Saccharomyces cerevisiae S288C: one gene and its partners. Changing the gene in region 1 together with any one later gene gives a genetic interaction. Each region holds a gene or a part of one and is shown on either strand. Other genes may lie near its edges. The genes, in order: SNT1, UBP8, SET2 and SGF11.

Region 1 (10,129 bases):
ATCTTTGAAATATGCTGTTGGAACTTTGGGATGAAAGACAACAAACATCTTATTGGCTATTTTTATCCTATTTGCTTCATGATTGTTCTGGCCACCTTCGGATATAAACCCTTTTATTCCCGTTTGATCTGGAGAGATTTTCAAATCACAGTCGACGAAAGTATAAGATTTTTCTTTCTTTTTTTATGACAGAGTATATAACAATAATGGACAAATTAGACGATGAGTATTGTTACACAAATAAGTTTGACAGTAGTTTCACAGGCATCTAATATTGGAAATGGCTGAAAGTACCACGTTAGAAACTATTGAGATACACCCAATTACTTTTCCACCTGAAGTTCTTGCGAGAATATCTCCAGAATTGTCTTTACAAAGACACTTATCCCTAGGAATCAGGCCATGTCTAAGAAAATATGAAGAATTTAGAGATGTTGCTATAGAAAATAATACTTTATCGCGTTATGCGGATGCTGGTAATATAGACACTAAAAACAACATTTTAGGCTCAAATGTTTTGAAAAGTGGGAAAACCATAGTCATAACTTCTATTACGGGTGGAATAATAGAAGAAACTAGCGCCGCGATTAAAGATTTGGATGATTTCGGTGAGGAAGAATTGTTCGAAGTGACCAAAGAGGAGGACATAATTGCAAATTATGCTTCTGTCTATCCGGTGGTGGAAGTTGAAAGAGGTAGAGTGGGCGCTTGCACCGATGAAGAAATGACTATATCACAAAAACTACACGATTCCATATTGCACTCTAGGATATTGCCTAAAAAAGCCTTGAAGGTAAAAGCTGGTGTTCGTAGTGCGAATGAAGACGGTACGTTTTCCGTCTTGTATCCCGATGAATTAGAAGATGATACGCTGAATGAAACAAACCTGAAAATGAAAAGAAAATGGTCATACGTTTTGTATGCGAAAATTGTAGTCTTGAGTCGCACTGGTCCAGTCTTCGATTTGTGTTGGAATTCTTTGATGTACGCTTTACAGAGCGTAAAGTTACCTAGAGCATTTATAGATGAGCGTGCGTCCGATTTAAGAATGACTATAAGAACAAGAGGAAGAAGTGCCACCATAAGAGAAACGTATGAAATTATTTGCGACCAAACTAAGTCAGTACCGTTAATGATAAACGCAAAGAATATTGCATTTGCTTCAAATTATGGGATAGTGGAGTTAGACCCCGAATGCCAATTACAAAACTCTGATAACTCTGAAGAAGAGGAAGTGGACATTGATATGGATAAATTGAACACTGTGCTAATAGCAGACCTAGATACTGAAGCGGAAGAAACAAGTATACACAGTACGATCTCCATCCTCGCTGCTCCTTCAGGTAACTATAAGCAATTAACATTAGTGGGAGGAGGCGCTAAAATAACGCCAGAAATGATAAAAAGATCATTGTTGTTATCTAGGGTTAGAGCGGACGATTTGTCAACAAGATTTAACATATAAAAGACTCGGATAAAATTATCTGATGACTGTCGAAAGGAAACGGAAAACTTTTTTCAACGATAACATGTGTATGTAATATATAACAAAACCATCCGGTCTTTTACAATATAATAATAGTGATAATAGTAACAATAGATCCACTAAGAAAAAACGAATATACGAAAGTTGAATACTTAAATTCTTTCAAAGATTTTACACTTACCTTTTTCTTCTGTGTTGAGGTTTTGGTGATGGAGATGGAGTAGGAACGTTTTTCAAGTCAACGTTAACATACTCATTAACCTTTGCGGCAACACCGCCGTGGGCACGCTTTACCACTCTACTGGTTTTGGTGCCTTTACGTTTATAAACGTTAATGTAAAATGAAATAAATAGTACCAAATATGAAGAAATAATGGCACAACCTGCAAAGGTGGCAGTTGTTGAACCCACACAGTCACCACAATGTGGCAAAATTGGGAAATACAAGTGAACTGCTTTTTGGTAGACAGCAAAATATATGAAACCGATATCCAAAACAAATTGGATAATTTGAAATCTGGTAACCCATTCCTTCCACCAGACCCTGATGCCTCTGGCAGCCAAGAAATAGTACCAATACATAACCACGTGAACACCAAGGTTCAATGAAATAGGGACCCAAGAAATAGATGTGGTGCCCATCAATTGGGTGTAACATAATAAGGCAGTAGCGCCATGGTGATAAGTATGCAAAAATGTCAATTTTTTATGTTTTAGCACCAAGAAAAAGGTGTCTATAAATTCAATAAACTTGACAATGTAATTCATGTAATATAATGTAACGAGCGGTTGAGTCCAAGCACCAATATTACAGATAGCGAAGTATAACCCGTGCTGAACAATAATTGGCACTAATTGTTCAACCATAAGCAATAAAAGCGTCAATGAAAGTGAAGTTAAAACCAAATTATGCAATTGGAAAAGGCCATTTAATTTAAATGGTTTCGACTTACTTAACAAAAACCTGCCACCAAAAATAATAACGTAATAGGCAGTGATGGCGTATAGCACAGGGGGCAAAGTGCTTAATGGTAATTCACCTGCAATGAATTGGAATTCGCTTGGAACAAATCTACCGTTAGTTACACGAGTGACGACATCATCGAAATGTTCCCACAACGAAATATTAAAAAATGGTCGCTCCAAAGTTGGTAAATAGTCATGAAGTTGGGGATAACGCTCGAACAACGGAGCAGCATATTGAGTAACGAGTGAATTCATGGCTTCTAGACGAAGATAATTAGTTCAACCTTTTCACTTTGTACAAAATTGCTTGTGGATAATAGTGAAATGAAAAATATTTTCCAATTTTTCATTGACTTTTTCGCGATGTTTATTTCTCTGTGGGTTTTGCGATTTTCAGCAATGGCCGCACGCCAGGACATGTGAATACGTACAAAAATAAAATGTGACATATTTACACGACACTTAAATAAAGTCGTTTAAAATCGGAAAAAACTGTATAATGCAGAAAAAATACGAAATTACAATTATAATTAAAAACTCCTCCCTTTATATATATACATATATATATATATAATATAGTACACTAACACACGTAAGGTAATGTATGCTCGAGAGTTTCACCAACCATTGGATGGAAAAGAAGTAGAGCATATGTATTGCCCGTCTCAGCCGTTTGTTCAATTATTATTTTCCTTTTTAGATAAAAAACTGCTCATTGCATCTGGCGCGGAGGCAACCGCAGCCAAAGCTGCCAACGGATCATTCGAAAAATTGAACTTTGGAGGCGCACGACTTATTGGACTAGTGCGAGGGGCCGGTAAAGGGAAAGTAGGAGTGCCTTGAGAAATAGCATGCTGAAATGGCAGCAACGGCCTTCCATCTGGGTTTGATTGCCCATTCCCATTTACAGGATTTAGTAATGCAGAAATAGAACTCGATCTTGGCGTAGTAATATTCGGTTTTATTTCTTGTACTACAATATTGTTCATGCTGGGAGTGTCTTCGAGCTGTGCTTCGTGTCTTGAAGCGCTTTGGAAAGAAGATTTCATGCTTCGATCCGAATTATTCAATAGATTGCTGATTGTCGTCGATTTACGGCCAATGTCAATTGCATTCCTTTCATTACTGAAGTTTTGATTATTTGTTACTGACGAAGCTGCATCAGCCAACGTGTCAATATGGTCTAAGGGCCTGTTACGCAAATCTGTCACTGTAGGTTCTGCCATTTCTGAACGAGGAAACTGAATAGATGGTAGTCTTGGTGGTGGTAAAGTGGTTAAAGGAGCACTAATTTTAGAAAAGGTATCACGATGAAAATCAGGCCCAAATGGTCTTATAGAGCCATCGATAGATGAAATAGATGTATTATGCCCATGAGTTGGTTGTCCAACAAAATAACCCAAAGCCGGTCTTTGTTGAGGAGGAATATTACTATAGGCATTGATGTTTGGTCGTTCTGGTTGTATCAAAATTTGAGATTGTTGTACAGATTCTGAACTAGTCCCATCTCGCTTTAAGTCGGTTTCATCAACCAGTAATTTCCATCCATTGCGAGCTGCATTTCTTTGGTAGTAATTCCTTACCATTGTAGTAGATTTGGTACCCAGTTTTTCTGATATGAGAGACCATTGAGAGCCAAACTCCTTCAACAATTCTGGAAAGAGTTGAGATTCACGAACACTCCAATAACTTGTTTTATGCTCTGGTGCAGATTTGTGTTTCTTTCTCTGTAACGCATTCTCTAAACTGAAGTCAAGTTCTTTGGTCTCCTCTGGATAATAACCATTCTGAACAGCTCCTTTTGGATCCATTATTTGTACCCCATTGTTGGTTTCTATTACACTGGACTTATTGCTCTCTTCTCCAACTTCATCATGCGCCCTTTTTAAGTCGTTTACCCTCTCAGCATTTTCCAATTCACCTGCAAACTCTTCGCCTCTCTGTTCAATCATATTTTCAACTTTTTCCGGTGTACCTAATGGATCACCTTTCACTTCAGAACCTTGAACTAGAACCGGCTGAACATTTTCCTCGGCATTGTTCTCACTTTTTTCTTCCTTCTCTATCGTGTTCGTTGACTCTTCTTTACTCTCATCAACTTCGACTTCCTCGTCATTACTTCTTTCCTTCCTCTTGCGGCGCTTGGCAGCGGCTGACATTTTTCTTTTCTTGTTCTTATCGATAAGAAGTTGTTTATAATTCACAGTTTTCTTTGTTCTATAATAATGTAGGACACACTCTTCAGGACTTCTTAAGCCGCCCATGTAGTGAGAAATTTTACCAAATTTTTTAGGATGAATTAAATAACCCTCCAAAAATAAAGAGTGCTCATGGTCAGTAAAGTTGTCAGAGGCGTCTTTCAATATTCTAGACGCCCAAAGCTTTTTGTCTGTAACCAAGTTATTTACATCACAGAATTTGTAAGAGTGTTTGCGGATTGGATCTAAAATTAGCGGAGGAATTGTTGCAGCAGCCTGATAATGTTTATAATTTGGGTCGATTTGTAGCAATACATTTTCCATTTCCGCATCATCAACGAAGTCAGCCCTATTTCTGCGACGAGATGAGGAAGACGAGGATGGATGCCGTAAGCTTTTTTCCTTTTCTGTTTCGATACCTTCTTCACGTCTTTTCTGCTCCATTAGTTCGTGCTCTTTACGTTTATTTTCGATTTCTTCCTTCCTTAAATTTTCACTCAGTTTAGTCAAAATTTCGCATTCTTTTTCATACTTCTTCTGGAGATCGAAATAATCATGTTTTAAATTTATTTTTTTCAAATGTTCTTCCTTTTTTATCTTTGATATAATTTTCGTCAAGATAAGTCCGGTAGCCTGCTGATGTATAAGTTTGTTCTGTGCGTAAAAAGGATACTCTGAGAAATTCCTAATTGCCTTTTTCAGTAAGTACTTTTGTTCACTTATTATTTTGTTTCTTTTCTGGTTTTTCAATTCCCATAATCTCGTTTCTGCTTTTGGTAATGGGAAAATACACCCCTCCACTTTTTCAAGAGGTTCTTCGTAACTTTTATTATCATTGTCTACTGTCAACTTTGTTACGTCTGTTTTCAGGGCTTTCGGATCGTATGCTCTTTCATAATCTCTAATTTCTGGGCTTTCCTTCCTTTCAACAGAGCGTGTTAGTTCCTTTTGACTTTCTTTGGAAACTTCGACTGCACTGGCCACTGTTTTTGCCGTCGTCCAAATTTCGTCCTGCTTTCCATCAATATTGATTTTACTTACTTTTTTAGCGCGAGCTTCTAGTTCATCATGCTCTTTCATTTTTACAGGAGTAGGATGTTCCTTTGCTATCTCACGCCCACTTTTATGTACTTCTTTTTTCCCCAATGCATCTTCTTCGCCAACCTTGATATTATCGGGTTCTAAAGGTGCATTAGGTTTAGAAACTGATTTTCTTGGTGGAAAATTGTTATCATGGTACGATATGGCTTTTGTCTCATCTTTACTGGGTGTTTCAACTTTAACTGAAGCCTCTGGTTTGTCCAATTTATTCGCATCGTGAAATTTTTTAGTATGAAGGGAAGGCGATGACTGTGAATGAGTTGATTTTAAAATAGTAGTACTATTTGCTTTCCAAAAAGGTTCCCTTTGATGGATCGAGTTAGTATTGCTGGTGGTCGTCATATTGCCGACATGATTATCAAATGGTGGTCTGGAAGGCGTTCCAATGGATCTCCATTTGTTGCTCCTAGAGTAATAAGAATGAGGGCTGTTATTATTAACAGATGAAACATTATTTGTTTCGAGCTTGTTCGTTACATCAGGACTATAATCATCCATTGATCGAGGTCTCCGAGAACTCCCGTTGGCAACATAAAACGGTGGAGCGTTTGATAATGCCGAGGGAAAGTGGGTAACGTTTGTAGAACTAGTAGATTGAGGATTATATCTGCTCATGGTTTTTCGAGAATAGCGTGAGTTTCCGATATCCGTATTGGTGTGTGTTATGGTGCTCGTATTCATACTTTCCGGAGTTGAACTAGTGGTTGAAGAGGATCTTTCCACATCTGGGTTATAACGGCTTCCAATTTTTCTTGTTGACGAATAAGATGATGACGAAGGCCTACTGACTGAGCTCGGATCATATCGAGATGGCCTGGGTGCTTCGATACCAAACGTGCTTCCAGGTGCCGCTGTAGGAAGAGGTACAGATGCAGTACTGGGAGTTACAGACGGATTTGTTGAATTATCGGCAGTAGGAGAAGATACAAATCCATTATTGCTTGATTTTGGAAAGCTATTCTTGGAATAAACAGCGGAAGGATGCCTTCGGTTAGGATTATTGGAATAATGGTACCTTTTCTTATCTCCAAGCCTTCGTGTAGGTGGCGGATACCCCATGTTTCTTACGCTTTGTTTCTGTTTGCTGTTCTATGCACAAGTTAGTAGGCAAATTATTAAGCAGGCCCTTTCGGAATAATTTAGTGGTTGTATATTTTGCTTGTTAAGGATTCGAGCAATATGACGGCTTCTTTCCCACTGCCTGTCTTAAACAATGAGTAAATTTGAAGGTGGTGCACAAAGTCAATAGTAATCCGAATTTCTGGTCTCTATTAAATCTGCGGTTGCGTTTTGATTTTTACATAATTCAAAGAAGAATTAATCGTTTGTTTTTTTCTTTTACCCTTTTGCCGTTTTCCATAGGCGAAATGGAGAAGAAATACTAGAAAAAAATACCCGGCGTTGGTAATGATATTGGATACGTACGCAATTACAATACTAGATGGGATGAGAAATCAGTTTCAAAAGTAAAGATATAAACTACAAAAATTGAATCATTTAAAGAAAGGCGTTACGATGTGATGCCTAGTACCAAATAGCTAATCTGCCATCTAATGTTCCCGCAATCACTTCTATCTCATGAGGCTCTGCTGTATCCTTGCGTCTTTTCTGGGACAGGTATGTCTTCCCCTGTCCCTTAATGCTAGTTATGGCTTTCCCTTTTTCGGTACAGAGCTGCTTCAGTAGCTTTATCGCCCATTCATTATGAAAATTCAAAAAGAGCTCGTAAATTTCTATAGTTCCATCTTCAAAGCCCACTAGTAGTATTTCCATCTCTTTCCAATAGATATGCTTTCTGTAACCTGCGTCTAACTTAGTGAAGTCAAAAAAATCAATTGAGCTTACAATTTTAGCTGGTTCGAATTTCTTTGATGTATATATTTGTCCATTTAGATTGAAGATCGAAATGGCGTTATTCTTAGTCAATACCATAATGCTCCCTGCATGTTGAGATATTGCGACCTTTTGCGCATCATTTGTTATTTGCCTTACTAGTTCGAAATTAATCATGTCCCAGACATATACTAAGCCGCTGATGTCTAAGGTTAAAAGCGTATTGTAGTCGTGATAACAGCGCATCTCCTTTAGCTCGCATAGGTGCCCAAACATTGTTTTTTTGTTCTCAAGGTTACCTGAAACCGAATGCTTATCTTTACGATATTTCCAAACTTTTATCAGCCCATTTTTATCGCCAGTTATGAATTCGCCCAACTTCCAGTACGCAAACGATGTAATCTGAGCCATATGCGTCTTTTTAAAAATATCTAGTCCAATTTTTAACCAATTTTTATGCACAATTCTCAATGACACTAACGATTCTTCCGTTCTGAAAAACAAGTTTGGGAAAGCGAAGCCCCTCCAGTATAATGAATCGAAGTAACTAGGATCGTGTATAACATAATCGACGGACCTGTTCTTTTCATTCAAATTAAAGATTGTCTTCTCAAATATTGGCTTCATTGGAACCTTACGCCATACCTCTGTTGTTAGCTGTTGAACATTGCAGGCTATTTTTTCCGGATGAGGTTCCTGAAATATTTGTAAAGGCGTTTGACCAAAGTTGTGAATAATGCCTGTGATAGCTCTGCGCTCATTTTCATCGTCAATGTTATCTAGATTTACAGCGCCTGGGTAACTCAATCTGTTGAATACGTTAACAGATTTCACAGCAATGTCCCCCTTTTGTTTGTAACCAAATATCAAATCAATCCATTCATGTAAATGTGCTGATACATAAGGACTTTCTAAAGCTTCTCTATTCTTTTGAATGAAAACCTTTGGGTCACCATTTGCCCAGGGTGGAAGTACGACGTCGTCAACTTTTTTACCGCTTTGGTCTGTACCAAAGTCATAACTATTAACGTTGATCAAAAATTCAGGTAGAAAAAAAAATTCAGGTGTCAATTCCCTGACATCCGTTGTATTTTCAGAAGAAGCAGAGCTCCAGGCCCTTTCAAGCGAACTAAATAAACGATCTGCAGGGCCAAAACTTCCGCCTTGCAATAACAAAAAGGATTCGACAAAGGGCTTCAGCCTTATCAGATATGAAGATACTATCATAGCTGAGGAATAATGCGTGCCATAATGAAATGGTGCGGAATCAGCATTTTCCAGGGAAGCCAAAGCTTCATAACGCTCTATAAACTGTAATTTCCTTTTCTCACTTTGAGCGCCCATAGGTTTCGATAGGTCCCGGTAAGTTTTAGGATTCTCTAAATCGAGTACGTTACTTTCGTAATCTGCAATAACCCACGGAAACACTGGATATTGGGTCAAATCGTTGAATGACCTTCCCGCTAGGATGTTGATACTCAACAGGTAATAAAAATTAGAAATCTCTCCCCTAACCCATTTTTTGCTGATCTCAAATCCATCTATTAGGCTGTTGTTCGCTGAGAAGACGCTAGTGAATTTAGAAGCAATGCTTGCCTTTCCTATTCCATTTCTTGCCACTATACTATTTCCTCGGTCGTTTATTTCTTGTAAAACGCTTGAAAAAATTGGATCTGCTGGAAGGTGCTTCGGGATCTTATTCAGTACCCGTAAAACGTCATCTCTCACTCTTTTGTTGTAAAAACTAAAAAAAGCGCTAACTCTCTCTTTGAACAATAATTCGATGGCGACATCCCGAAGTAGAAAGGGTCGTTTGGTAACGAAAGTGATATCGAGAAGTTTCCAAACAAAGACTTCGTGCTTTAGGAAAGTTGATACCCTTTTAACATCAGGGCCGTTAATTAAGCTAACCGTCATATCCCGTGATTCTTGCGATACTTCTGATAATTTTAGAATCTTTTTATCCTCTAAACTAAAATAGTAATCACTTACAAAGTAAAGGTAATTACTGCCATGAATTAAAATCCCCTCCTTAATTTCTAATCCAATAATCAAACTGCAATTCCAAATAGTTGCAATGGAATCGTTATCCTTCAAAAGTCTAAGAATTTTTCTATTCTCATTCAAATCTCCAACTGGCTCCGACTCAAGAGTCTCCATATGTTCGATAAATTCGTAGGATAAAATGCTTCCACTTTCTCTCCTTTGTCTGTTACCACCTGTTATAGTATCTTGATTAGCATCTTCCTCGTTAATGAGTGGTTCATATTTTGGTTCCCAAGCAGGCAAAAGCCTCCGTTTCATCCCATCAAAATCTTCTGCAAAGTCCGATGACCACTTGCAGGACGAATTTGGATTTGATTGTATCTCCAGTGTATGTTTCAGATGAAAAATCAAAAGATTTAAATTATTTCGATAGAAAACTGCATTTTCTTCTCTATCCGTTTTGAGGTTGTAAGTGTATCTTGATATGGACTTTTTGATTTTAAAATCTAAGGATGTGTTGTCTTTTCTAAATAAAATAAGGCACTTTTTATTGTTTTGG
Region 2 (3,823 bases), on another chromosome or scaffold:
GTTTTGTAGGAAGAATGAGGCATTATCGTGAGTTGACAGGCAAGAATAAACACTGGAACAATCAAATATAGGGTGAAAAATCTGGAAACGTTCAAGGTAGGAAACCAGTTTTGATATAACAACCTATATAACAGAAACAGCGCAGATGACGAATCAAATGATCCTGTTAGTAGGGCCAATACGGTTCCTGATCTTTGTGGGAAGCTATTTGCCAATTGAAAACATGAAATGAAGACGAACGGACCGGCAACTGCCAAAAGCGTGTAACCGACAAGATATGGGTCCCAAAGAGACACTAGATGCTTGGCAGAAATAAAATTACCGCTTGCTAGGAACAAGAGACATGATCCTATTATTCCGCAGACACGAGGTCCATACATATCCAAAATCTTACCGACAGGAAGGGCCATGATGTTTGTTACAGTAGCACTGAGAGCAAATATAAAATTTAATTTCAGATCCTGTGCAGTACATAATAATCTATCACCATCCTTAGGATCACACAATTCATGGTATACACCTTCTGAAATTAAAATAGGTTTCAAAGCAGCAAATCCAAAGATAATACCAGCTGAAAAAAGACACCAGATACAAGCACAGGCAACCTGTGCGTATCTCAACGTTCTTGTACTGGTCATTACAGTCTTTACTGCCCTAATACTGGCCTAACGAGGAATAAAATCATTTATAGATGCCATTGTTATCGTTATCATAATGAAGCATCGTATCGGTAGTTAAGTTAATTTGACGTATTATTACCCGGAGGATTTAATCATGTATAAATATGTATGTGAAGATTATGTGAAGATTACGTGCTATATATACTTGCCTCAGGTCAACTGCTGGAGCCATTGAGCCACTTTTCTCACAAACCCTCTTGAGTTCGGCACAAAGTGGCCCCCAGAGTGCATTAGTAAAGTGCGAGAGTCTTCCGTACAAGAGTTATATAGGCCTTGCACTTTGGCCGGCTCTGTGATAGTGTCAAGTTCTCCTTGAACATGTAGAGATGGGACCGATATTGGATGCAGGTCGTACTGTTCTTGATACTGTTGTGGTTGGAACCTGAAACCACTGACCGCCATGAAAAATTCTAGCGGCGGCTGTTCTTCTGTTGTAAGGCCCAACAAACCATTGAAATCCGTTGCTAGGTATCCAGCTACACCGGCTCCTTGACTAAATCCTACAATACCTGCAAATGGACCATTTTCAAGGACATAATTGTGTAAATAGTCGATTGTCGTCTGCGGTATGAAATAGCCACCGGTGGAAGGGTCATTCTCTAGCCACGCAAGCACACCGGTATTCTCACCATCCCCAGGTGCATCAGCAATTACCTCACCCAAGAAATCAGGAACATCAGCTGGGGGAAATTCATTGGGTGCTGTTGGATAGTAGAGTTTATATCCTAACTTTTCCATTTCGGCGCGAAACCCCTTTGTCTTAGAGGCAAAGTAGTCACCTGACTGCGCAAGCCCATGTAACATCAATACATTCTTCGTCATGGTTACAGCTATTAAATCTTATAGTCTTGTAGTATTGCACATTCTTTCTTCACTTATACCTTTTTTTTCTTCTCTATTCTTCCTTTTTTTGCTTTTCTTTGAATTTTTCAAGTGAAAAAAAATCCTCGATTATAGTGTGTAAAAAGCATCAATAATTTATATTGTATATGGGCTAGAAAGCTGTCGTAATAGCAAAGGGATTATATTAGTGGACCTGATTAATTCTAAAAAGATATTTTACGGATAATAATAAAGGTTTTCTTTTGAGACCAGTTAGTCCATTTCTTTCAACTGGCTGTCATAATTTTGAATACTATTTATTGATCGGATCAAAAGGGAAAACTACAGCTTCGGTCCTCGTCGTCCTACTTGAAACCCTGCTTTTTTTATTTGTTATTAATAATTATGAGCATTTGTCCACATATACAGCAAGTATTTCAGAATGAAAAGTCTAAAGATGGGGTTCTAAAAACGTGCAATGCTGCCAGGTATATATTAAATCATTCCGTACCCAAGGAAAAATTCTTAAACACCATGAAATGTGGTACATGCCACGAAATAAACTCTGGTGCAACTTTCATGTGTCTACAATGTGGATTTTGTGGATGTTGGAACCATTCGCATTTTCTCTCTCACAGTAAACAGATTGGTCACATATTTGGTATCAACTCAAATAATGGCCTTTTATTTTGCTTCAAATGTGAGGACTATATAGGGAATATCGATCTGATTAACGATGCTATCCTAGCGAAGTATTGGGACGACGTGTGCACAAAGACCATGGTTCCTAGCATGGAAAGAAGAGATGGGCTTTCTGGCCTGATCAACATGGGATCCACTTGTTTCATGAGTAGTATTCTCCAATGTCTAATCCATAACCCTTACTTTATTAGGCACTCAATGAGTCAAATTCATTCTAATAATTGTAAAGTGCGTTCTCCAGATAAATGTTTTTCATGTGCACTCGATAAAATTGTTCATGAACTTTATGGAGCGCTGAATACAAAGCAAGCTTCTTCGTCATCTACATCTACTAATCGGCAAACCGGATTCATATATCTTTTAACTTGTGCCTGGAAAATCAATCAAAATCTAGCAGGGTATTCACAACAAGATGCTCATGAATTTTGGCAGTTTATAATTAACCAAATCCACCAAAGCTATGTTCTTGATTTGCCAAATGCCAAGGAAGTCAGCAGAGCAAATAATAAGCAGTGTGAATGCATAGTGCATACTGTGTTTGAGGGCTCCTTGGAAAGTTCTATTGTGTGTCCAGGCTGTCAAAATAATTCAAAGACAACCATTGATCCATTCTTGGATCTTTCTCTGGATATCAAGGATAAGAAAAAACTTTATGAATGTCTTGACAGTTTCCATAAAAAAGAACAGTTGAAGGATTTCAACTATCATTGTGGGGAGTGTAACAGCACTCAAGATGCAATAAAGCAACTAGGCATACACAAATTACCATCGGTTTTGGTTTTGCAATTGAAAAGATTCGAACACCTACTTAATGGAAGTAACAGAAAACTAGACGATTTTATTGAATTTCCAACTTATTTAAATATGAAAAATTACTGTTCAACGAAGGAAAAAGATAAGCATTCTGAAAATGGCAAGGTTCCAGACATTATTTACGAATTAATCGGTATTGTTTCCCACAAGGGGACGGTTAATGAGGGACATTATATTGCATTTTGTAAAATTTCTGGAGGGCAATGGTTTAAATTCAATGATTCCATGGTCTCCTCTATATCTCAAGAAGAGGTTTTAAAGGAACAGGCATATTTATTATTCTACACCATTCGTCAAGTAAATTGATTCAGCAAATAGCATTCAACAATAATAATAAAACAAAAAAGAAGAAAAAGCTATGCATATTCCTATCACAGTTAACGCTTGCTTCCGTTCTTTTTTCTATATCATCGTTTCCATCATGTTTTTCTTTAAATTGAATACTTTCCTATGCTCTTAATGAGTTGCGATTGTGCATATACTGTATTTCAAAATCCTTTGTATCTAACTAAGGAAGAAAATTACTATGACGTTTATTCAGGATTTTTTTTTTTCATTCCTTGCTATACGAACAAAAGAGCAAAGGCTGGAAAACTAAGTGAGTTTATATATAGTAATAATTAAAGAACATATCATTATCATGAATTTAGAATGCAAATTTGCTCCTCTCAAAATGGCATACCTTGTTGTTCGCGAAGGCAAGCCCTTGGTTATAAATAGGATATAATATAATATAGGGATCAAGTACAACTATTTTCTTTTCTTAGCAAGGAGACTTCCAAGAATATCCGTCTTTGGCGTCCTTG
Region 3 (8,937 bases), on another chromosome or scaffold:
TTTCCTTCTCGTACTACCCGTAATTTCCGATCACGCATTTCTTCATTTTCATTGGCTTAAAAAAAATCCTTGGACTAGTCACGTGGAACGGTAGATCGAGAGATACTATCTTAAAGCTTATACTATATTATATTGGAAGTATATAGTTCTTATACATGGTCCTTATCTAGTTTGAAATCTAATGTTTTATCGATTAGCGTTAGTTCTATTTGCTTCTCTTGTAAACTTTGTTCAAGAACGCAGTTAAGACATCAGCTTTGAAGCCACGAGACTCATCGACCTGAGAAATTTTGGCCTTCAAATCCTTGGCAATAGACTCTTCATATTCGTGGTATAGCTGTTCAATTTTCAAGTCATTGAAAATCTTTTTGCATTTGGCTTCTGCGACTGAGTCCTTCTTACCGTAATTTTCGTCTAAAGTCTTTCTTTGTTCTGCGGAAGCAAGTTCCAATGCCTTGTTGATTACCCAAGAACATTTGTTATCTTGGATATCTGTACCGATCTTACCGATCTGTTCTGGGGTACCGAAGCAGTCTAAGTAGTCATCTTGAATTTGGAAGTATTCACCCAATGGAATCAAGACATCTCTGGCTTGTTTCAAATCCTTTTCATCCGTGATACCGGCAACGTACATGGCCAATGCGACAGGCAAGTAGAAAGAATAGTAAGCAGTCTTGAAAGTAACTATGAAGGAGTGCTTCTTTAGGGAGAACTTACTCAAGTCGACTTTGTCTTCAGGTGCAGTGATTAAGTCCATCAATTGGCCCAATTCGGTTTGGAAGGTGACCTCATGGAACAATTCGGTGATATCTATGTAGTATTTTTCGTTTCTGAAGTGAGATTTCAAAAGCTTGTAGATAGCAGCCTCTAACATGAATGCGTCATTGATGGCAATTTCCCCAACTTCAGGAACCTTGTACCAACATGGTTGGCCTCTTCTGGTAATGGACTTGTCCATCATATCATCGGCGACCAAGAAGTAAGCCTGCAACAACTCAATGCACCAACCTAGAATGGCAACCTTTTCGTATTCTTCTTGCCCCAATTGTTCAACGGTCTTGTTGGAGAGAATAGCATACGTGTCCACAACGGACAAACCTCTATTTAGCTTACCGCCTGGAGTGTTGTAGTTCAATGAGTGGGCATACCAGTCACATGCTTCCTTAGGCATACCGTAAGCCAAAAGCGATGCGTTCAATTCCTCTACTAATTTAGGGAAAACGTTCAAGAATCTCTCTCTCCTAATTTCTTTTTCTGAAGCCATTTCTACGTAATATTTTTGAGTTTATTGTGCCTATGTCAGTCCAATACCTGTTGGTTGAGTTTTTAAAGTTAAAATGAAAACTGATAGAAGAACAATCTATCATAAAGTATTAGTTTCGACATGCGTTTATATATATTTCCTGCCGTTGCTTCCTCTATTTATCGGTCTTTTTCAACAAGGCGTTTCGTTTAGAACCGACGAGAAGAAGCTGACTTCGACTATTGAAAAAAGAATGCTCAATGATATTGCTTGTCACTTCATCAGTATTTAAAATATGTGTAGAGGACGGTGAATATACCGCTTAGAATACCTCACACTGTATATCGCAGTAATAAGGACAGTATCCGTACTTTTACAGATTTGTCACGTGATCAATATCACCTTTAACGTTTTTTTTTTTTTATTCACTGCAAACATGTGAAAAATTCCAAGAAACTATTAGAATTATTGGTAATTTGGTGGTTATTTATCAGAACGTAAGGTCACGTTGGCAGCTTTTCAAAGGGGCTTTCGAACGTGTGATAGAAAACTGCATAGTCGTGCTGTCAAACCTTTCTCCTTTCCTGGTTGTTGTTTTACGTGATCATGTCGAAGAACCAAAGTGTGAGTGCGTCGGAAGATGAAAAAGAAATACTGAATAACAACGCTGAGGGCCATAAACCTCAAAGGCTTTTTGATCAAGAGCCTGATCTCACAGAGGAAGCATTGACCAAATTTGAAAACTTGGATGACTGTATATATGCGAACAAGAGGATCGGAACATTTAAGAATAATGATTTCATGGAATGTGACTGTTATGAAGAATTCTCAGATGGCGTCAACCATGCCTGTGACGAGGATTCTGACTGTATCAATAGACTTACGTTGATAGAATGTGTCAACGATTTGTGTTCATCTTGTGGTAATGATTGTCAAAATCAGAGATTTCAAAAGAAGCAGTACGCTCCGATAGCCATATTTAAAACAAAGCATAAAGGTTATGGCGTAAGAGCCGAACAGGACATAGAAGCCAACCAGTTCATTTACGAGTACAAAGGTGAGGTGATCGAGGAGATGGAATTTAGAGATAGGTTAATAGACTATGACCAACGTCATTTCAAGCATTTTTATTTTATGATGTTACAGAACGGAGAATTCATTGACGCCACAATAAAGGGTTCGTTGGCCAGATTTTGCAATCACTCTTGCAGCCCCAATGCATATGTTAATAAATGGGTTGTTAAGGATAAGCTACGCATGGGAATATTTGCTCAAAGAAAAATTTTAAAAGGTGAGGAAATCACTTTTGATTATAATGTGGATCGTTATGGTGCTCAAGCTCAGAAATGCTACTGTGAGGAGCCAAATTGTATTGGGTTTCTCGGTGGTAAGACTCAAACAGATGCGGCATCTTTATTGCCCCAGAACATCGCTGATGCCTTGGGAGTGACTGTTTCCATGGAGAAAAAATGGCTAAAGTTAAAGAAATTAAGCGGTGAGCCAATAATAAAGAATGAAAACGAGAACATAAATATTGAATTTCTTCAATCATTGGAAGTCCAACCTATCGACAGCCCAGTGGATGTGACGAAGATCATGAGTGTATTACTACAGCAAGATAATAAGATAATTGCATCCAAACTCTTGAAGAGACTTTTTACTATCGATGATGACTCTCTTCGTCATCAGGCTATCAAACTACACGGTTACACCTGTTTTAGCAAAATGCTTAAATTGTTTATCACGGAACAACCTCAGGTAGATGGAAAAGGAAACGAGACTGAAGAAGATGATATAAAGTTTATAAAGGGAATTTTAGATTTTTTGTTGGAATTACCAAAGACAACTCGAAACGGTATTGAGTCGTCACAAATTGATAATGTAGTAAAAACTCTCCCTGCAAAGTTTCCATTTTTAAAGCCAAACTGCGATGAGTTATTGGAGAAATGGTCGAAATTTGAAACATATAAAAGGATAACGAAGAAAGACATAAACGTCGCAGCCAGCAAAATGATAGATTTGAGAAGGGTGAGATTACCTCCAGGCTGGGAGATCATTCACGAAAACGGTCGCCCATTGTATTATAATGCAGAACAGAAAACGAAACTACACTATCCACCTTCGGGATCATCTAAGGTCTTTAGTTCAAGGTCAAATACACAAGTAAATTCTCCGAGTAGCAGTGGAATACCAAAAACGCCTGGCGCTTTAGACTCTAAGAAACATAAGCTGAGTGACGAAGAATATGAGAGGAAGAAACAAAAAAGACTGGAATACGAAAGAATTGCGCTAGAAAGAGCCAAACAAGAAGAATTGGAAAGCCTGAAGCAAAAGCTAAAGCTTGAGAATGAAAGAAAAAGCGTTTTGGAGGATATTATAGCGGAGGCCAACAAACAGAAGGAGTTACAAAAGGAAGAGGCCAAAAAACTAGTGGAAGCAAAAGAGGCTAAGCGGTTGAAAAGAAAAACGGTCTCCCAGTCCCAAAGACTAGAGCACAACTGGAATAAATTCTTTGCATCTTTTGTACCCAACTTAATAAAAAAAAACCCACAAAGTAAACAATTTGATCATGAAAACATTAAACAATGTGCTAAAGACATCGTGAAAATCCTAACTACAAAGGAACTTAAAAAAGATTCTTCAAGAGCGCCGCCTGATGACTTAACCAAAGGAAAAAGGCATAAAGTTAAAGAATTCATAAATTCATACATGGATAAGATTATCCTCAAGAAGAAGCAAAAAAAGGCGTTGGCATTATCATCAGCATCAACAAGGATGTCTTCTCCTCCACCTTCAACATCATCATAATTAACCAGACATGCATATTTGGGGCTTGTTTCACGTTTTCTGTCCCAAAGGAAGTCTTGTACTTTAATTGTAATTGCGATTTGTAATAAGTAATTTTTTTTGTCTTTACCGTTTATTTCTTTATACATTTTTGGTGCATATATTTAAATATCCGCATTAGTGGGCTATCAGTAGCACTGTAATGATAGGTAATGTGACACATCTTCTCGACAGATATTATTCTTGAAAAAATCGTGCGTTTCAAGTGTCTTTATTTTTTTGCTGTCAATAGAAGTGTTGAAATGACTTTGAAACGTAATTACCGCATCGGGAAATTTACATGTTAACTGCAATGAAAACAAGGAATATACGGGGAACATATAAAGGGTCAGCGTCGTTGACTAGTCTGTCATTTATATTGTGCTTGTACATAGGACTACAAAAATTCAAAGAATGACGACAAGAAACATGACTACTTTAGCATCAAGTATTGAGCATAAAACAAAACATCTAGCCGCGCCCTTCGAGAACGATGAGAACCCTTGGATGAAAAAATACTGTTGCCAATGCAAATCATGTAAAATGAGTGTGCCTGTCCAACCTTGGCTGCCAAGGTTTTTTGTTTTTGGAATCTTGTGCCCCGTTTTCTGGTTGGTGAATCTTTTAGCCTGGTGGTTCTTACAGTATTGGCAACCACATGAATTGGAATTCCACGACTTGCAAGAAGACGAATACCCAGGATTTTATGAATATGAAGCCATAACTAAAAGAACGGTGATACCCATAAAGGAAGAAGTCCTCCAAGAGATTCGCGTCATGCAGAATTTCAGTGATAGCAACAGCGAAGAATATTACGAGAGCAAAGACGGTATGCCGTCGTCTTTCCTAAACGTGAACACGGAACAAGTCGAGGACGAGAATGACACCTTGAAAAAATATCGTTACGCGTTTTTGAAGAAGGTAGCCCACGATGTGCTGGAGTCGCACGATTTATTACGTAAGACCTTCCGCGACTGGAATTTACGGTCTTTGCTTGGCCTCCTCATCGATTCTATACTCATAATATTTGTAGTTCTCCTATGTAAGAAAAGCCGTTAGGTAGATCTAAAGACAGAAAATGATATCAGCCTCTTTCTTTTCCACAGCCTCCATTTCCCATTTTTGCTGTATCTGCAAGGGTTCCTTTTTCCATTTTTTTTTTTCAAAGTCTTGGCTCCGCCCTTTTCTTTTGTCTATTTTGCCGAGCTTAGGTTATTTATAAACCTGAAAATCCTCGAGAAACAATCCTTATCGAAGGAAGCAGCCATAATAGAACATACTCAAGTGCAAACATTACAAGCTTAAATAAGACAAATGTTACAGAGTATAGTCCTTTCCGTGTGCATGTTTATGTTGCACACAGTCGCTGCCAGTGGACCTCAGTCGTACCAAAAGTTGGATTTCACTAATGTTGGTTTTACAGGCTCCTACGTAGATGTGAATAAGTTTAAAGATATCACCAACAATGAATCGTGTACTTGCGAAGTGGGTGACAGAGTATGGTTTAGTGGTAAGAACGCTCCACTAGCAGACTATTTATCCGTTCATTTCCGTGGACCATTGAAGTTGAAACAATTTGCTTTTTACACATCCCCTGGATTTACCGTCAACAACAGCAGAAGTTCTTCTGATTGGAACCGTCTTGCCTACTATGAGTCCAGTTCCAAAACCGCTGATAACGTTACCTTTCTAAATCATGGAGGTGAAGCTTCCCCTTGTTTAGGAAATGCTTTGTCCTACGCTAGTTCTAACGGTACTGGCAGCGCCAGTGAAGCTACCGTTTTGGCAGATGGCACTTTGATTTCTTCAGATCAAGAATACATAATCTATTCGAATGTCTCATGTCCAAAATCAGGTTATGATAAGGGTTGTGGGGTTTACCGTAGTGGCATTCCAGCTTACTATGGGTACGGAGGTACAACAAAGATGTTTTTGTTTGAATTCGAAATGCCTACTGAAACTGAGAAAAATAGCAGCTCTATTGGGTACTATGACTTGCCTGCTATTTGGTTGCTAAACGATCACATTGCAAGGACTTCTCAATATCCAACCAATGCCAACTGTTCATGTTGGGCTAGTGGATGTGGGGAATACGATATTTTTGAAGCTATGAATGGTACGGAGAAAAACCATCTCTATTCTACTTTCCACACTTTCCAAGGTATCGAGGATTTGGGTACTGGTATCCAATCTTACGGATACATAACAAGAAATACTACTGGAACGATGAAAGGTGGTGTTGTTTTCGATTCTAGTGGAAATGTCGTTTCTTTCATATCTGATGCCACTCCATTCAATGGAACTGTTTCTGCTGATACTGTTAACGATTTATTGGCTGCAATTCCAGAAAACGAAACCTATTCTTCTCAATTGATGAGCATTTCTGCTACTGCGCCTTCGACCACCTCGAAGTCGAATGGTGTTGCTTTAACGAAGATGCAAAACGGTGTATGGTATTATATTTTGGCCATATTCACTGCCTTTACGCAAGTGGTTTTGATTTGATTTAAGTCATTGTATGGTCATATTATCATCATCATTTAAATTTTGATTTGACACTTGATTTGACACTTCTTTTTTTTTTTATTTATGTTTTGTTTAACTGACGGTGTTTTTTTTTTTACGTTATACTGATACATATATAGACGTGATTTATTTAAATAAAAAGTTCTATGAAAAAAAAAAAAAATTAAAAAAAAAAAATTAAAAAAAAAAAATCTTTGACTATTCAATCATTGCGCTTAAGCGTATTCGTTAACATTAACGATATACTCGTAAACAAAGGCAATGGCAGATAAATGACCTGGGACATCCACGTGTTCATTAACCGAATGCAATGTCTTCAGTAAATCAATATCAATGATAGAGCCAACAAACCTATAAATGTTCTTGGACAAATTCCAGTAGTATTTAGTATCGGTGTTACCAGAGAATAAACCAGTAGTCACATAGAACTCTTCGTTGTTTTGTAGAACACCGTTTTCAAAAACATCTTGAATAGTACCTGCCAAAATGTCCCAAACAGGGCCTGAACTTGGCGAAAGTGGTGCTGGTTCCAATTCTCTCAAGAGAGTAATGTCAATGTGACCTAACTCGGTTTCAGGGATAATGTAATCGTCACCGTTCTTAGATAAACCATAGCCATACTTCTCAGCAATCTTTTTCGCATATTCTATGTTTCTTTCAAAGACTTCAGCCACAGAAGAATGTAAATTAATTCTGTGATTGATCAAGAATCTGGTAGTTTCGGGCAGAGCATTAGCTTTAACACCACCATTGATGATATCAACAGCTTGTGTTGTTCTTATTAAGCTGCGCAAATGTGATTGGTTGGAAATGTACTCAACAAGCTTGTCCTTCCTTCTAGGACAGAATGGTGCGCCCAAAATTGTCTTCTTCACATCCTTACTTAAAGATTTAGAATGTTCAGCAGCACATGTCAACAATCCATAGATTGGATTGTCAAACTCAAATTCGTAGTCAAATGGGTTGGCTTCAAATTCAGTAATCAGTTCTGAAGCGATACCGATTGTGGTATGATCAGGTGGGACAGAGGAATGACCACCATGGCCTAGAATACTGACTTCGAAGTCGACATAGCCTTTTTCAGCGTTGATTGGAGTGGCAACAAAGACATCCTTGTCGACTTCCATGATACCTTCACCCTCGTCAATGATACTGTAAATACCATCATCACCATATCTTTCGTGAAGAAATGAGGCTAAGCTGGCAGCACCGAGGGTGCCGCTTGCTTCTTCATCAAAACCAAGCGACATAACAATAGTTCTGTTGGGCTTGAATCCATCTATCAACAGTTGTTCGATAGCTTCAAACTCGGCAATTAACAAGTTCTTACAATCGTTAGAACCACGCCCCCAAACAAAATCTGTTTCTGGATCATAGTGACCAGAAAATGGAGGGAACTTCCAGGATGATAAAGTTTCGTTGTTTACAGGTACAACATCTTGATGGGCCATTAACAATAATGGTTTTAGATCAGGATCAGAACCTTCCCATGTGTATAGAAGACCCAGCTCATTGACTTTCTCCAATTTCAAATGCTTGTGAATATTAGGGAAAGTCTTCTCAAAATAGTCGTGTAGTTCATAAAAATGCTTATAGAAATCCGGATCATCTGCGGGGTTGGGGTTTTTGTCTTGGACTACAGTGGGGATTCTAACAGCATTGGACAGTTTCTCAATGGAGCTGTTTCTAAAGGCAGGGTCATGAAGAATTGTGTCGACGGAATGTTTGAATGATGGACTTAATGGTTCAATCTTCTCACATTTGGGTGAGTGCATGGGACCTTTTCCATGGTGTGGACGCTTTGCCTCATGAGGTGGTGCTGGGTGGAGACCCGAAGTGAGGAAGAAGGTGCCGATGATAATAAGGGCAACTATTCCACTAATAAAGGCTCTGTGCCTTTGCCATAGGGACTTTCTAGGGGCCTTCTCTACTGGTAAGGCGATCATAATGTAATTGTTAGATGAATGATTCCTTAATGTGATGATGCAGGATTAGTTTTACAATGGGAAGAGACGTATTTGGGGTACCCGTTTCTTTTATATGTCATAAACTTTCTTGCCCGACCTTGGAAGGCTGTATCGTATTTTGCCCAAAGGGGAAAATAAAAGGCCGCTATGATAAGATAAGGGTGGCGAGGCTGAGATAACAAGAAGATGTTCTGAGCATTGAGCATTTAGGATAACAGTGCACAAGATCACGCGGTTCAATTCGTCACGTAAAGCTACTAGAAGTGGGTGTTTCTAGTAGCCTGCAAAAAGCGTCGTTCTAAAGAAACTTTTTTCAATGACACATTTACTGAAAATAGAAAAAGACTATCTATTCGTAGCTGATTTTCAAAATCC
Region 4 (6,703 bases), on another chromosome or scaffold:
TTCTTGGAGACATTGAAAAAGGAATACTCTCTGGCGTTCAAAGCCTTGGAAAAGATACAGCCTACGGTAGGACAAAATGTGGCGACAATACCCGTTGACAGTAAACAGATCTTGAAGTTTTGGGATGTAGGTGGTCAAGAATCACTGAGATCAATGTGGTCCGAATACTATTCCCTATGTCATGGTATAATTTTCATTGTGGATAGTTCAGATAGAGAACGATTAGACGAATGTTCCACGACCCTACAGTCAGTTGTAATGGATGAAGAAATTGAAGGTGTACCCATCTTGATGCTGGCCAATAAACAAGATAGACAAGATAGAATGGAAGTACAAGATATAAAAGAAGTATTTAATAAGATTGCGGAACATATAAGCGCTAGAGATAGTAGGGTTTTACCAATAAGCGCATTGACTGGAGAAGGTGTTAAAGACGCTATAGAATGGATGATTGTTAGACTAGAAAGGAATAAAAAGTCAAGACCACCGATTTATAAATGATAAAGAAGCACCAAAAGAAATAAAATGTGAATGGTTTATTCTCAAGCTCAGAAATTAGTTGTTGTAGCACTTTTTATTCGGCATTTTTTAATATACATGTGTAAATTATATATATATATATATGAATATATATCTTGTTTTGTTTATTTTCAACTAATAATCGCAACAATATTATCTTTCAATAACGCTATAGCTTCTGTATGCTTTTTGCTCAGTTGCTCAATGGTTCTCTTCCTCTATGTGATAAACCAAATAGTTTGGTAAGCCAAATACATCGTAGTTTAATCTCTTCGCCATCTTAGCAAAACCTTCTGTTTCAATCAAGTGATAAAATGGGAAATTAGGGAACATGGCACCGTCTCTGTGAACTTCTGCTTTGACCAAAGTACAGCCTCCACCAACACCATCCAGCGCCATCTCTTCACCTGGTACGCCATTAGCATCGTAGAAATGAGCCATTAATGGCCTATAAGTGGCAATTTCTGCATAACCCTCGACAATAATCTCGTCATCACCCATCTGAGAGGCTATTTCTAAACCGGTGTCACTTTCTTGCCAGTTGTTGAAATCGTATGGTCTGATTGATGGTTGCTTCTTCTCTTCATCGTAAAATCTTTGATAAATGTTTGCAGCTAAGATAGCTTTGTTGTGTTTGGTCATGTCTTGAATTAAAGATGGTGGTGTCTCTATAATATCGGCATCTAGCCACAGCACCCAAGAAGTGTGAGGTCCTATGGTGGAGAATAGTAATTCATTGCGCGCCAAAGCCATTGCTGCACGTCTTTCCTTTTGAACATCTAAAGCGTGTCTTTCCTTCTCCATCAACTTATCAAAACTCTGGGAATTCTGTCGCAAAATAGTAATTTTACTAAATCTTTGAGTTTTCTTGTCCGTTTGAACCTTTTTAATAGCATTCTCCAATTTCTTTAAGGCCAAGTCACCAGTGGCTGTTCTTGGTGTAATGAACCCCAATTCAATCAATTCCCGAGGGTAATTTAGCTGCAGCAAATTGTCCCAGTATTGTTGATGAAATGTTTGCATTGGAGTCAATATCAAAATATGCTCCTTATTGACAGCTGCTTCTGACGTAGAGTGCAATTTGTTCAAATCATAATGTGCAATATGACCTTCTGGGATAATATCTTCCACGTGATCGTTGAACAACCAGCCGCTTTTTTTCTTATAAGAGTACTTTGGCATTTTGTATTTCTTGGTGAAGGGAAAATAAAATGTGTTTTCCTTTTCGTGTGCCCATTTGTGTTGGGAAATGGACTGGCCATTAAGTCCCAACAGAGATTGATCTCTCTGGAAAAAAATTATATATATTAGAAATATGGCCAAAACAGGTAGAAAAATGTTAACCCACGGGTTCTTTCTTAGGCGGTACGATACAAGAGAAAGTGACATTGTTTCCTAACTTTTTATTCTAGCTCTTTTAAATTCTTCTGTTTGAAAAATACTAAAATTGATGCTATTCTCTTCTTACTTTCACAAAGTGCGGAAGGAAAAATAGGTTCAGAAATAACGGGTCCCAAGAGCGGCTAACAGAAAATAATAAAAGCTTTTCTACCAATTGAGAATCCGCTTGGTTGACGACTTTTCCTCCTTTATTATTCTTGATTTGGTGTTCTGTTTTACTTATATCAAAATACTTCAACGCCAAATCCGCTACAACGATGGAAAGGAAAAAAAAAAAAAAAAAAAAAAGACAAACCAATGCTGTCGTGTCTAGTGACGATAAAGGCTGTAACTATTAATAAGGTGAATACTCACCCTCATCTTTTAGTTTATCAAACTTATATAAAAATTGTGTATGTACTGAATTGTCCTTGGTGTGCGAGTGAGAGTGTGTGTGTGAGTGCGTGTGTGAGTAGGTGAGTGTATGCGAGTGTATGTAAGTTTATAAGTGCCTGTGTGGCTACTATTTTCCGGTTCTGTGATGTGATGATGATTTTTTTGTCAGCTCCTTTGATTCATTCCATACTTTATTACATATGCTCATAAACATTTTCTTGTCTACATTGCTAGAGCTCAGGGGGAACTCGAAGGCAAAAATATGCGATGAGAGTCGGATTTCGCCTTGAAGAAGACTAGGTGATTGCTGCTGCGGCTGCGAGGTCCGCTGGAACGTAGTAAAAGTGGGAGTGGGGACCGCTCCGTCCTCGATGGCCAAGTCCGTACCCTCTTCTTCGTCTTTATTGGGTTCTGCCTCATGCCATGAACTCCTGTCCCGGTTTGTGCTTGTGCTTGTACTTGTGCTTGTGCTTGCGCTTCTGGCTTTCGTGTTGGCCGAGAGTAATGCATCCCGTTCAAAGTGGTATTCTTCAGCAGGTATCATATCTGCTGGGCGTAGATCCGCGCGCTGTTGCGTAGGACCGGCATTCGCACTTGATCCTACGCTAGAATTTCTTGAGCCTTCCTCGGATCGTCTGGTTTTCCCAGTGGAAGCGGTGCCACTCAAAGGCGAATCATATGAGTCGTTAACCCTCTTGTTTCTGTAATTGCTAGCACTATACTCATTTTCTTCGTAGGGCCTAGCGTTGCCACCTTGCATAGCATAAGGAATGGAGGTCCGCGGTCCCATTGGATATGGATACGACACGTAGGGTGTCATTATGGGCTTGTTCAGCATGTGAGGTGGAGGGATACCGTACGGATTATAATATGGTGACATTATGTAGCGATTCATGGGCATGTAAGGGTTCATGGCGCTCATGATGCCCGCCGAGGGCATGTGTGGTTTCCCATAACTATTGCTGCTATTATTCACTTGTATAGATTGTCTAGAACTGGCCTTTCCCAAGTATTGGACACGGGGCTGGAACTTGGAATGCTGAGTAACTTGTGCGGGCGCGCTTTTCACGTTTTGATTAGCAACAGGAGGAAAATGTGCAGAGTTAGACGAAGCCAAGTTGCCGTCCTTAATATTACCACCGTGTGTATTAGTGTTGCTATCCGATAAATTCAAAGGCGCCGGGACTCTGCCCCTCTTCAATGATTTCTTCGGATTCTTCAATGGTTGGGCTTTCCTCTTCTTCGCAGTGGCTGTCTCAGAATCCTCATGATCTGCTTCCTTGTCACCAGAGTCATCCTCCTCAGGGACATGCTCTAGCTCCGACTCCTGACCAACGCTGTTTCCGCCTGGCGAATTCTTAATGTTGCTATCGCTGCTGCCCTTAGCATTTGCTACACTGATTTCTGTATCACCAATTGGATCTTGTGTTGATTTAGCAATGGATGTATCCTCGGCAGTCGTTCTCAAACGGGCTGATACGGCCATTCTCACTTTCTATTTTCTTCTTTGAGAAACAATACCAAAATTTGTTACTGATTTGATTCTTTTTAAGTGCGTTTCTTCTGTATAAGCTAAAAAAACGCAAAGCACAAAGCGGAAAAACTAAACCTAATAAACTTCCCCCAGCGAGAAACAGATGTAAAGAACAACCGTATCAAGTGGCGAAGCAGCTGCTTATAAGTAAAGCCCAAGGCCCACCAACGCATACATGCAAGGCCTGTGCAAGCCGACTGCTGCTTGTTTCATCTTCCGCTCGCGGTGACCCACTCGGGGAATTTCTCACGCTTGCTGCTGCAGGTCGTTGGGCGTTGATTCCTGTTTTTTTCTTTCGTTTTTTCAATCCGCGGGAGTGAGACATGATTAGTGTAGTCCTTGTAGAGTTCCTTATTTATTTTTTTATTAGTTTTCTTGTTTTCGTTTATCAGCAGGGTTTGGTTGTGTTGCTTGGCAGCCCGCAAATTGGTCTTCCCTCCTTGTTATTGTATTTTCTGTTATTAGAGCATACAGAACATAGAAACTCAAGATCAGATACAGTTTTTGCACGCCATGTCTCAAGGTACTTTATATGCTAACTTCAGAATTAGAACTTGGGTCCCAAGAGGTCTTGTCAAGGCTTTGAAGCTGGACGTTAAGGTTGTTACGCCAGATGCCGCCGCTGAACAGTTCGCAAGGGACTTTCCCTTGAAGAAGGTTCCGGCTTTCGTGGGTCCAAAGGGTTACAAGCTAACCGAGGCAATGGCGATTAACTATTATTTAGTAAAGCTTTCACAGGACGACAAGATGAAGACTCAACTTTTAGGTGCCGACGATGACTTAAATGCCCAAGCGCAAATCATCAGATGGCAATCTTTGGCCAACAGTGATCTGTGCATCCAGATTGCCAACACCATCGTTCCCTTGAAGGGCGGCGCCCCCTACAACAAGAAGAGCGTTGATTCTGCGATGGACGCTGTTGACAAGATCGTCGACATCTTCGAGAACAGATTGAAAAACTACACCTATTTGGCTACGGAAAACATCTCCTTGGCCGACTTGGTGGCTGCCTCGATTTTCACCAGATACTTTGAAAGCCTGTTCGGTACTGAATGGAGAGCTCAACATCCAGCCATCGTGAGATGGTTCAACACCGTTAGAGCCTCACCCTTCTTGAAGGATGAATACAAGGATTTCAAGTTCGCTGACAAGCCATTGAGTCCCCCTCAAAAGAAGAAGGAAAAGAAGGCCCCAGCCGCCGCTCCCGCCGCTTCGAAGAAGAAGGAGGAAGCCAAGCCAGCTGCTACCGAAACTGAAACTTCTTCCAAGAAACCAAAGCACCCATTAGAATTATTGGGCAAGTCAACTTTCGTTTTGGATGACTGGAAGAGAAAGTACTCCAATGAAGACACCAGACCAGTTGCTTTACCTTGGTTTTGGGAGCACTACAACCCAGAAGAGTATTCCCTGTGGAAAGTCACCTACAAGTACAACGATGAATTGACTTTGACTTTCATGTCCAACAACTTGGTCGGTGGTTTCTTCAACAGATTGTCCGCCTCTACCAAGTACATGTTCGGTTGTCTGGTAGTCTACGGTGAAAACAACAACAACGGTATTGTTGGTGCAGTTATGGTTAGGGGCCAAGATTACGTTCCAGCTTTCGATGTCGCACCAGATTGGGAATCTTACGACTATGCAAAGTTGGATCCAACTAACGACGACGACAAAGAATTCATCAATAACATGTGGGCCTGGGATAAGCCAGTTTCCGTCAATGGCGAACCAAAGGAAATTGTTGACGGTAAGGTCTTAAAATAATCTCTTCGTACTATCCTTCATGTCGCCTTTTATTATAAAGTATGCTAGGTAGTTTTATCTATATCTTATTTATGACGCAATATAGGGTAACAGAGTTTTTCTGCTCTGAAACTTCCGCAGAAAAAAAATCAAGTTTTCCTTTTCGTATCTTGGATTATTGTTATATAATAGATGCATGTATTATATGTATAGCAGTGATTTGCTTATTTTCTTGATTCTGAGGAATCGAAGAAGTAACTTAGCGTTTCTTCCGTTGAGCAGAGCAGTATAATAATCCTTCAAATTCTTTAGGTTACGGGGTTTTCCTGTTGCGATGACCGAAGAAACTATTACTATAGATTCTATTTCAAATGGGATACTGAATAACCTGTTAACCACATTGATCCAGGACATTGTAGCTCGGGAAACCACTCAACAACAATTGCTGAAGACAAGATATCCGGATCTTCGCAGTTATTATTTCGACCCGAACGGATCTCTCGATATTAATGGACTACAGAAGCAACAAGAGTCCTCTCAGTATATTCACTGTGAGAATTGTGGCAGGGATGTGTCCGCAAACAGACTAGCAGCTCATTTACAGAGATGTTTGAGTAGGGGTGCTAGACGTTGACACTAGGTGGTGGTTTATGGGTAATTGAAAAGGCACAGACAGATTTTAGCCCATTTCTTGTGGGCATAGGTTCATAAAAAAAGCAAGATTCTTACATTTTATGCGGCATATCTGCACATAGAAGTTCATGTAGTTATGTGGTAACATCTCAAAGAGAGAAGGCGAAAACTGTTTTAGCTATTAACTACATGTTTTTATAATAGCACCTCCCATATATGATGCCAAATGATACCTTGCATTCCGTTATGTGGAAGGGTTACACATAAGTACGCTATAACAATGCATTCAATTTTCTACATATCAGAGTAATATGCTGCAACATCACACCCATATAATATAATTTTTTGAAAGAGTTCCTAACTCTTTTTTGTTTTTCCTGTACCTATATACTCAAATAGTCCGCCGCAAGTAGCAGCTCTAACGACATTTCTGTCGGTATTTCAAACTCTGGAATCTCATCATCGTCCTCGCTAACGCCGCTGTACTTCAAATTATAATTT

Evidence for each region.
Region 2: mutations in SNT1 (region 1) and UBP8 together harm fitness less than expected from each alone (positive genetic interaction), as found in Saccharomyces cerevisiae (6 studies listed by BioGRID, with this or other methods).
Region 3: mutations in SNT1 (region 1) and SET2 impair growth when combined (synthetic growth defect), as found in Saccharomyces cerevisiae (6 studies listed by BioGRID, with this or other methods).
Region 4: mutations in SNT1 (region 1) and SGF11 together harm fitness less than expected from each alone (positive genetic interaction), as found in Saccharomyces cerevisiae (4 studies listed by BioGRID).

What each region holds. Positions count from the first base shown.
Region 1 is NC_001135.5:183,170-193,298, reverse strand, and holds SNT1 (Snt1p), read right to left. Parts: upstream 6,811-10,129; coding exon 3,130-6,810; downstream 1-3,129. Other genes in the region: RBK1 (putative ribokinase), read right to left, coding at 1-2; exosome non-catalytic core subunit RRP43, read left to right, coding at 281-1,465; fatty acid elongase ELO2, read right to left, coding at 1,664-2,707; BPH1 (Bph1p), read right to left, coding at 7,276-10,129. UniProt on the Saccharomyces cerevisiae protein: Part of the Set3C complex, which is required to repress early/middle sporulation genes during meiosis.
Region 2 is NC_001145.3:714,808-718,630, forward strand, and holds UBP8 (ubiquitin-specific protease UBP8), read left to right. Parts: upstream 1-1,907; coding exon 1,908-3,323; downstream 3,324-3,823. Other genes in the region: FMP42 (Fmp42p), read right to left, coding at 1-638; FSH2 (putative serine hydrolase), read right to left, coding at 831-1,502; MRE11 (MRX complex nuclease subunit), read right to left, coding at 3,768-3,823. UniProt on the Saccharomyces cerevisiae protein: Histone deubiquitinating enzyme component of the transcription coactivator SAGA complex. SAGA acts as a general cofactor required for essentially all RNA polymerase II transcription.
Region 3 is NC_001142.9:97,341-106,277, reverse strand, and holds SET2 (histone methyltransferase SET2), read left to right. Parts: upstream 1-1,849; coding exon 1,850-4,051; downstream 4,052-8,937. Other genes in the region: ERG20 (bifunctional (2E,6E)-farnesyl diphosphate synthase/dimethylallyltranstransferase), read right to left, coding at 206-1,264; ASG7 (Asg7p), read left to right, coding at 4,499-5,128; TOH1 (Toh1p), read left to right, coding at 5,384-6,574; CPS1 (Gly-Xaa carboxypeptidase), read right to left, coding at 6,811-8,541. UniProt on the Saccharomyces cerevisiae protein: Histone methyltransferase that trimethylates histone H3 'Lys-36' forming H3K36me3. Involved in transcription elongation as well as in transcription repression.
Region 4 is NC_001148.4:460,059-466,761, forward strand, and holds SGF11 (SAGA histone acetyltransferase complex subunit SGF11), read left to right. Parts: upstream 1-5,903; coding exon 5,904-6,203; downstream 6,204-6,703. Other genes in the region: Arf family GTPase ARL3, read left to right, coding at 1-501; mannosyltransferase complex subunit MNN9, read right to left, coding at 721-1,908; DIG1 (Dig1p), read right to left, coding at 2,423-3,781; CAM1 (translation elongation factor EF1B gamma), read left to right, coding at 4,343-5,590; ELC1 (elongin C), read right to left, coding at 6,586-6,703. UniProt on the Saccharomyces cerevisiae protein: Component of the transcription coactivator SAGA complex. SAGA acts as a general cofactor required for essentially all RNA polymerase II transcription. At the promoters, SAGA is required for transcription pre-initiation complex (PIC) recruitment.